Linked DNA regions of Nothobranchius furzeri. The protein of the gene in region 1 interacts with the protein of each later gene in a biochemical or structural test. Links are inferred from orthologs where the notes say so. Each region holds a gene or a part of one and is shown on either strand. Other genes may lie near its edges.

What was found.
Region 2: the proteins of ras-related protein Rap-2a (region 1) and ralgds form a complex in vitro, tested with the Homo sapiens proteins (2 studies listed by BioGRID). The link is inferred for Nothobranchius furzeri from reciprocal best matches to the Homo sapiens genes RAP2A and RALGDS.

Annotation. Positions count from the first base shown.
Region 1 is NC_091754.1:22,192,065-22,196,665, reverse strand, and holds the start of ras-related protein Rap-2a, read left to right. Parts: upstream 1-1,759; 5' UTR 1,760-1,904; coding exon 1,905-2,218; intron 2,219-4,601. UniProt on the Homo sapiens protein: Small GTP-binding protein which cycles between a GDP-bound inactive and a GTP-bound active form. In its active form interacts with and regulates several effectors including MAP4K4, MINK1 and TNIK.
Region 2 is NC_091750.1:38,665,526-38,669,918, reverse strand, and holds the start of ralgds (ral guanine nucleotide dissociation stimulator), read left to right. Parts: upstream 1-1,470; 5' UTR 1,471-1,619; coding exon 1,620-1,808; intron 1,809-4,393. UniProt on the Homo sapiens protein: Functions as a guanine nucleotide exchange factor (GEF) activating either RalA or RalB GTPases and plays an important role in intracellular transport. Interacts and acts as an effector molecule for R-Ras, H-Ras, K-Ras, and Rap.

The DNA.
Region 1 (4,601 bases):
TAAATAAGTCATGTAAAAGCAAGGGTGTGTGTGTGTCCTCCGCATGTGCCCTAGCTTCAAAATAATGATGCGCTCCGAGCTTCAGCACTCAGACCTGTGCACGCTGTCAATAGCAAGATATGTATTTGATCATTTTTATCGGTGTTGGAGAAATCTGAAGGTGGTGAGTCATTCTGGCAGATTGTAATTAACACCTGTCTCATGCAGGTGTTCTGACATTGCAAACCTCACACACAGAACATTGTGTATGTAACAAAATAAATAAGAAATGACTCCCATCTGAGCATTTTAGCATTATTATATTATTATATTAGCACACTGACGGTGGGACAGCATTCTAAACGTGTCAGGCTATTAACAGCGCGCTGAAGATCTGAAGTTCAGAGTGCTTCTGTCGGAGGTCAGACGCGGAACCACGGCTCACAGGTGCATGTGAGCACATCTGGGCTGGGCAGAAGTAATTTTACAACATTGGTTTAAATAGTGCCAATAACGAGACACAGTGACTTGAGCGGCTCATGGAGCTGTGCCGCACACACACACACACACACATACTGATTCAACAAGCGCATGCTGCGCTGTGCCGTCAGACTGAAGGAAGAAATTAGGGCTCTGGTTAAACGTTCCTGCTTTAAGAAAACCGTTAAATTGCATTGTTTATGTGCTACCTGGGCACTCTAAATATTGATTTAAAATTAAATCAAAGGAAATTGTAATGGTATTGAATGTTTATTAATTACGATTTCAAAAATAATACATAAACATAAAAATGAAAGTGATGGGGAAAAGGGTCGATCATATTTTTTTTAACCCTGTCTGTTGAGTGACTGTTTAGCGTGACGTCTGATATATATATATATGTATATATATACACACACATACATACATACATACAATGCTCGATACCAAGAGTTTTCCTATCAGTTTGTGAGAAAAAGAGGCCAGAACACAGAGGGTTAAGCAGCATCCATGAAGCATGCTCATAGTATTAACCAATGGCAACGCGAGGCGGCGTGGCCATGGCAACAGCATCCGGTGTTGTTTTCCTTTTTTTCTCTCTACTCTTGGATACGCATCCTGGAGCTGCCCTTGTGATTGGCTGAGCTCTCTTTGGATGTCACTGGGGCAACCGAATGATGGGAAGTTTAACACATGAACGGAAATGTCGGCGCTGAATCTCACTGGCTGCCTGTGATCGGCTCCCATTCGGCCTCCTGTGAGAAGCACAACTGCCGAGGCGACCATTGGGTTGTTCTTACGTCTGTCTCATGAAGGAGGTTCGTTTTTTTTTTTTTTTTTTTTTTGTATTGGGTACGGAAGCCGAGCGGGGACCGGCTGGTTTCGCAGTGGCCGCGGATCTCCTCCACCCGAGAGTATGGCGGCTGGAATCGCTCGGGATAGCGTGGGAGACGCGGAGGCATGCCCGAGAAGGCAAAAAAGAAACAAGAGGTTCCTGTGAGGAAGAGTCGGGGCAGTTTGAGTTTGTGTTTAGTTCTGGACTGGTGACAGTCTAGAGATTGAGCCTTTAGTTGAATCTCAGCTAAAGTGTGTGTGATTTTTTTTCTTTTTTTCCCCCCTCCAGCATCCTCGATGGAGCAAGTTTGTTTTTATGAAGCACACAGAGGGTGAGCTAAGCAGATGAAAACGGTATTCGTCCTCCTTCCTCTGCACGTTTTGGACAGCTGCAGTCCTCGTTTGCGCGTGTCGCTGTCAGTCTCTGGCCTGCAAATGGGGGATTTCTACCCAGAAATCCACGTCGGGGCACCGAGTCTTTGTGCTCTGCCATAACAGCTGAGCCACCGCGCGCGAGGCACGGGGACAAAAATGGGACGCGGATGGTGAACGCGATCGCTCATTTCAATGTCGCGCCGAGACTGATTGCCTACTGATTGATTGAATCCACAATGCGCGAGTATAAAGTTGTGGTCCTGGGCAGCGGTGGGGTCGGGAAATCAGCCCTCACTGTGCAGTTCGTCACCGGGACGTTCATCGAGAAGTACGACCCCACCATAGAGGATTTTTACCGCAAAGAGATCGAGGTGGACTCCTCGCCCTCGGTGCTGGAGATCCTGGACACCGCCGGTACCGAGCAGTTCGCCTCCATGCGGGACCTGTACATCAAAAACGGACAAGGATTCATCCTGGTCTATAGCCTGGTGAACCAGCAAAGCTTCCAGGACATCAAACCGATGAGGGATCAGATCATAAGAGTAAAAAGGTGGGTGCAAAACTAACAAATGCATGTCGGAGATGACATTTCATTCTTATTATTAATGACCTTTTGGGGGGTTATTTAGTTTCAGGGCCTGGTGAACTAAACCTCGCCTACAGCTGCTGTGCCTTCATCCTCTGTATCAAACAAGTGATTTTTCTAGACTTTATGCCATGTTTACCTTCAACAGGACTGATCCGAGGCCAGTCGCAGCATGGTAAATACACCAAGCCAGATGCTGCAACCGCTGCAAAAATACTCAGGAATACCCAGGATTCAATGCTACTGAAGCTCTGCAGAGAGCTTCAAGGAAAGAGCAGCTTTTGCTAAACTGTTGGGTTTGTTTGTGAGGGGGGGGGGGGGGGTAGTACCCGCCAGCCTGGTTCTGCTGAGGAAAGACCATACAGTTTTTAATCCCCACAGAAGGAGAAGGCAAAGATTGCCTGATGTGCCTGCACTGATGGTCCAGAAGTGATGTCATCACGGAGAGCTGCTGATTGATTCAGGGTTGTGTTTTGGTTTGCTGCTTTGTTCATGCTTGCCGGCTGACTTTGCATGATGTCATAAACCCTGCTGAGAGCTTAAATGTGCAGTGTCATGGATGCTCAAATGACCATTCCTGTATGAGCTCTGATGGTGGACGCATTAAAATCGGCTTATGCCTTGTAATATTTAGTGATACGGCTAATTAATTTAGATGATCCTCAGCATTTGGACAGAGCAGCTGAATCCAGCCTTAGTGCGCTGATTTGGTCTCAATTCTGACCACCCTGGAAAAACCTGATCTATTTTTTTTGTCTCCACAAAAAAAAAAAAAAACATTAACTAGAAGATGCCTATCTCTCATTTCAGCTTTTATCACCTCACTGGATTTTACAAATCCCACCAGCACCTATCTCCCCTTACCAATAATATTAATGTGTGGCTCTGTTTGAAAGAATGAGGCCAACATGTTTCCCCCACATGAGTTAAAAATACAGCAAAAACAGGGTATGTTCAATCTGTGAGTGTGTGTTTTAAATGTAGATGTGTGCATGATCACACAACAGATAGAGCCAGGCTGTTGTGTGTGATTTCACACCAAATATGTTGGAGAATCTGGTGGTGTTTTCTAATATCACACTAGAATTTATTTATTTATTTATTTATTAGTGGAACAAAAACATGAACATTTTACACACTACTCCAACACAGCTGTTCATTTTAAAACTCCATGTTTTGTGCAGATTTGAACACTTAAAATCTAAATTTAAGTGAATTTTTTTTGTTTGTTTGTTTTACCTTTGATCTCATGATGAAATGACCTCCTAACAAATGCGACACATATCCATTGGTAGTGTTGCGATTTACCTGTTTGTATGTGTTGTAAATATTCAACCTCTACCACACCAAATGTTAGCTATGTTTAGCTTACATGTACAGAACAGGCAAAAACATTATAAACACACTATAAAAGAATAAAGCAGCATGCGTGTAAAAATCAAACATAGTTTAAAAGTAGGGGTGGGAATTTAACGATTAATGAAAAATATTTATGCGTTAAAAAATTAATGCTTGAGCCCGAGCATTCCCCAATTGTGGGCCAAAGATTAGCATAGCCATTTATCCTCTATATATCAAAAAATAACATCAAGCACCATCTCTAAAGAAGCTGCAGAGCCTGGGCTACAAGACCATACAACCCTGTTTTACGTGCTCCAAACACAATTGATGCGATTATGGCAAATCACTCTTCAGAAAGAAAAGAAAAAAAGAAAAAATAATTGACTTTTAATTTTCTGTTTTCTAGTCGGTAGAAAGCATGCAGGTTGTAACTTTATTACAGCAGGAGGGACAAGTGGACATGCAGCATTCATCTTGTAACTCTCAGCAGAACTTCCCCTGAACTCTACACTAAACCTCTATTTAAATAAGCTGTGCTCTGCTGCCACCCAGTGTTCATTTCAGTACACAACATTTACAATGTTCCTTGTCCATTTTACACTTCATCAAAAACACATATACTGATATTTACACATTCCAACAAATCCTACAATGGTTACCTTTACAATGAGACCAAAGTAATCAAATAGACCAGAAATGTACTCATTTAAGTGCGGGTATGTCACCTGTGCTTCACTTACATTATTTTAATTTTACAAAATGCGTGGGGAAAATTGTCTTGAATGCTTAAAATGTGATTAATCAAGATTAATTAATTACAAATCTTCTGGTTAATTTGATTATTTTGTAATCAGGTCCCACCCCTATTTAAAAGATAACATGTTTACATCTACACAAACCCCTGTGCAAAGGTGCTGCAAACACTGGATATACTCCAATGATTGTTGCTATTAAAGGTGGAATCGACATTCTTGGAAAAAGTCACTCAAGCTACATTTTGAAAAAC
Region 2 (4,393 bases), on another chromosome or scaffold:
AGCTGGAGATGAATGCAGGCCGATAGCGTCGCCCTCCTGTGGGAGCAGTAAAACAAGTGGGAGCACCAGCCGGAGCCTCGGCAGCATGACAACATGTTCTGGGATTGATTTCTATCGGATGGAAGAATCAACAACATGGCCGCTCCTCAGCGTGCTCTGAATGTTTAGGGATCCGGGACGGATATTAGCATCACACTTCTGCTCATAGCTGCCGGGTTTGGAAGTAAAAAAAAAATCTCTTTCATACCAAAGTTGTTACAGTGCTCAGGAATTTGCAGGAGTGCTGTTTAGGAATTTCTCAAGGATTCCAGCGCGTCTTTAGCAGATCAAACAGGAAGTTTTATTTTTTTCAAATGCACTAAATGTAATCTAATGGTAGCTAAAAGTAAGATCATCAGAACGATAACTGAATCTGAACAGCTTCTTTTGATGTGGTGCAGCTCAGTGATGAGAAAGTCTCTCTCTCTCTCTCTCTCTCTCTCTCTCTCTCTCTCTCTCTCTCTCAGCACAAAATATCAGTTTAGATGATGACGTGATCATCCTAAAGCACATTTCTTTCTAAATGACCACCATCAGTAATCCGCTGTTTTGTTCAGATCAAACAGCTCAGCTGATTTGGTCGTGATGGGTACAGCGCAGCAGTAGTTCTGTCTTATTCTGGAAAAAGAGCAGTTCCTGACACTGGCCAGCAGGGAGCGCGGCTGGGCGTTAAATCCTCTAAATCTCTGTGATCCAAAACCAATAATCTCCTTTGCATCTGCTGTGTCTCAGAAGCGGCCTGTAGCAGCTAATGATAGATTATTTGGTTTCATATGAGTTACTTTTGGAATTATTCCGTTTAGTTTAACACGTGGTTTGGTTTATTTATACTAAAACGGAGATAATTTTGTGGGGGTGTGGAAAAAGTAAAACACTGCTCCCCTTGGAGTAAACAGAGAGATGAAGAGCCATGGCTCAGATTCTCTGTTGAGACGTTTTTAATGTTTACTGTTGAGCTGCGCTTGTTTGTGTATAAGTTCGTGATTTCAGGAGAAAAGCAGAGCCCCCACTGTAGCTGATTGTTGTCTTTCCCCACACTGTCCTGCTGCCATAGCGAGCAGAAACAACACAAGGCCTTCGTTCCCCAATGCGTGACGTCAGAGCGGAGGAGTTAACGCTGCCTTCAGGAACGTCTGGGGTTCCTCCCTTTCAAAGTATTACAGGAGCTGTTAACGTTATCTTTTGAGTTGTTTCTAATGACACAGATAAATACTTTAAATAAATAGGATTGCTACACTAAGTCAAATACAGATATATTAAAAGAACAACAAAAACGGAAAGTTTCGGCCTAAATTAAAATCAATCGGGTTTTCGACAGTCACTAATCGGCTCAGCTGGAGAAATAAAGGTTTTCCGATGCAATTGAAAGCATCAATAAGTTGGGGGCGTGGCTTAGAACCCCCTCAGTGTGAGTCAGGAGGATTCTGAACGCCTCACGCCGCAGCGGTGATCTAACAGAGCTGATTTTACGGTCGAACCGACCCGAACCGGGCCGCTGCTTTGGCAGCAGCGGCACTTTAGGTTTAAAAACGCCAAGAAAATCTCTCTAAAATGCCGCTGTGACCAAACGCCCGGCATCCATGGTCTTTTTCCCGGGTATGCACGCCGAGGCGCGCGGCCTCAAACCGGGACAGCTGCTCGAAATGTTTGACTCGTCATGGAAGGTGCGGGACATTTGGGACGGGGTGAAGCTGGAGGTGGTCGAGGACCCCAGTCCAGTGGTCCTGCACAGCTTCACCCACCTGGACCCGGACATGCCGCTTCTCGAGGTGAGGATGAGGAGGGTGGAGGTGATGGGGACCCGTTAGCTGATGCTGTTTGTTGTGGCTGGGAGTAAGATGGGTCCGGGGTTCCTGTCTGATTCATCCGGATACAATAGTAAACTATTAATCACAAAGCCTTTGTACCGCAAAGCAAGCAATAACTACATTTATGTTTTCTTTCCTTTTGTTTGTGTGTGTGTGTGTGTGTGTGTGTGTGTGTTTGTTCGTGTGTGTGTGTGTGTGTGTGTGCGCCTAATATTAATGTCGATGGTGTGTACCCTGCGCTGACAGAATGGTTTGTTCTGATCCAGAACTTTATCTCTGCTCATCCTCGTTAACCTCATGGTGTTTAATCAGTTTACTGTTGTTGCGTGACTGTGTGTGTGACCCCCCCCCCCCCCACACACACACACACACACACACACGCACGCACGCGCACCTGTTTATGAGTCTGACCCCATCATGGTGATGTAAGTCACAGCATCTCTGCTGGGTTGCACTTTTTATGTCAGCTTTGTGTGTGTGTGTGTGTGTGTGTGTGTGTGTGTGTGTGTGTGTGTGTGTGTGTGTGACCTATGTGGCTCTATATGAATGCAGGACATTTACCATATAAAACCATATAAAATCGATCCAGCAACAGAGTGAAATAAACCAATCTGCCAGTTTTTCTTTAATTCTTCTGATGATGATTTGATCTCTAAAGGCCACGTTGTTTTGTACGTTGTTTTGTACGTTCTTCGCTCTGCATGTAGATATTAAGCTCAACCTCATATTTCTGATTGGGGAAAGCAGTTGTAATCCTTCCGTGCTTTGATGGTTTACTACTTCCAGTAAAAGTAAATCTCAGATTACGCAGCACATTTCTTAACCCATCAGAGAAAGAGGGAGGATAGGCTAATCTGGTCAGTGTGACGTAATCCACCATAACTCATTTTCCATTTGTTTTAGTGCATTAATTCAACTTAGCTTCATCTGTCAGACCTGGTCTGATCTCACCTACAACTCTACAAACTCATAGCTGTTTGCAGATTGTATGTTCATAATTTAAAAAAGCATTGTATACTTTAAGTATATTTGAGTAACCCCTAAATCAACTTTATTTTTCTGATCATCTGTATAATTATTATTTAAAAATGTAAAATTCTGTCTAAACTGTCATCGTTGCTCCTCTTCAGGCTAAAACTACATTGATTTTGAGTCAGTCATTGGCGCTTTACAACACAATCAGTCATTCACCCATTCACACACACATTCACACACTGATGGTGATGAGCTACGATGTAGCCACAGCTGCCCTGGGGCGCACTGACAGAGGCGAGGCTGCTGAGCACTGGCACCACCGGTCCCTCCGACCACCACCAGCAGGCAACGTGGGTTAAGTGTCTTGCCCAAGGACACAACGACAGCAACAGACTGAGCGGGGCTCAAACCTGCAACCTTCCGATTACGGGGCGAGCGCTTAACTCCTGTGCCACCATCGCCTGATTGTATAATAATAATTAGTCTAGTCTCGGCCACGCCTCTAGCAGGCTTGACCACTCGAGCTGATATTAAACAATACGGCTCAGAGCCGCTCGCCTCCTAAAAAGACGTCTTCCTTCCTTTCTTCTAGTGTAGGAGGTGGAGGGAAAATCCTCCGGCCTGCTGCAGTTCCTTTGTTCGTTCATCCTACTGAGATGTGTGTGTGCACGTACGCACTTGTTAAAGGCTTGTTTGACTGACAAACTCTGATAGCGCATGTGGGGGTGCCGTCAGTCACTGCCTCCTTCGGTCCACCGGGCGAAGCCACTTTTAGGCACATCTGAAGTTTGGGTGAAGTAAGACTCCATCCAGGGGTAACCAACCCTTCAAAGACCAAGTTCACTTGTTTTTTCAACACATCTGCAGTGGTCTCTAGTATAAATCACACCTTGTGAGCTCTGGTGCTCTTGTTTCAGGAAATAGAAGCGAGCCAGATCAGACTTGAGCAGCAGACGATGGATTTGGAGTCTTATATCCTGATATTTGGACACCCCGCCTCTGATTGGATGCTCGGTGCCGACGTGGTTCTTATTTGAAAGTTGTCGGGTTTTTGGAAGCAAAGCGACGGTGAAACCAGAGACGAGTGTTGATGTTGTCCCTCCTCATCTTTATCTGCATCCTCCACGCTGACGCTGACTCAGCAGAGCTGCTCCCACGGCAGCTTAATAACAGCCTACGGTTCCGGGCTTCCCAGAATCTCCTCCAGCACAATCTAAAACAACGATTCATTCCAGAACCGGAACAGAACACTGCGCAGGACTCCGGTGACCCGCATGTCCTGTGATGTGTTTGACCCAAATCTGCATTTATTATTATTATTATTATTATTATTATTATTATTATTATGAACACAAGAAAGCAAACCCAAACTGCTGCTGTGATGTAAAAGCAGGATGAGCTGAGGGCTGTTCTTCATGAGCTCCTAATGACTAAAACACAGTTTGGCGAAGCGGGACGGATCGGGTTGGATCACTCGCTGTGGAAGACCTGACGCCTGGAAAAACACTTCATACTGTTTCCTTAAGCCTCCTGTCTGTCTGTAGGGGGGGGGGGGGGGGGCATGGCAGCAG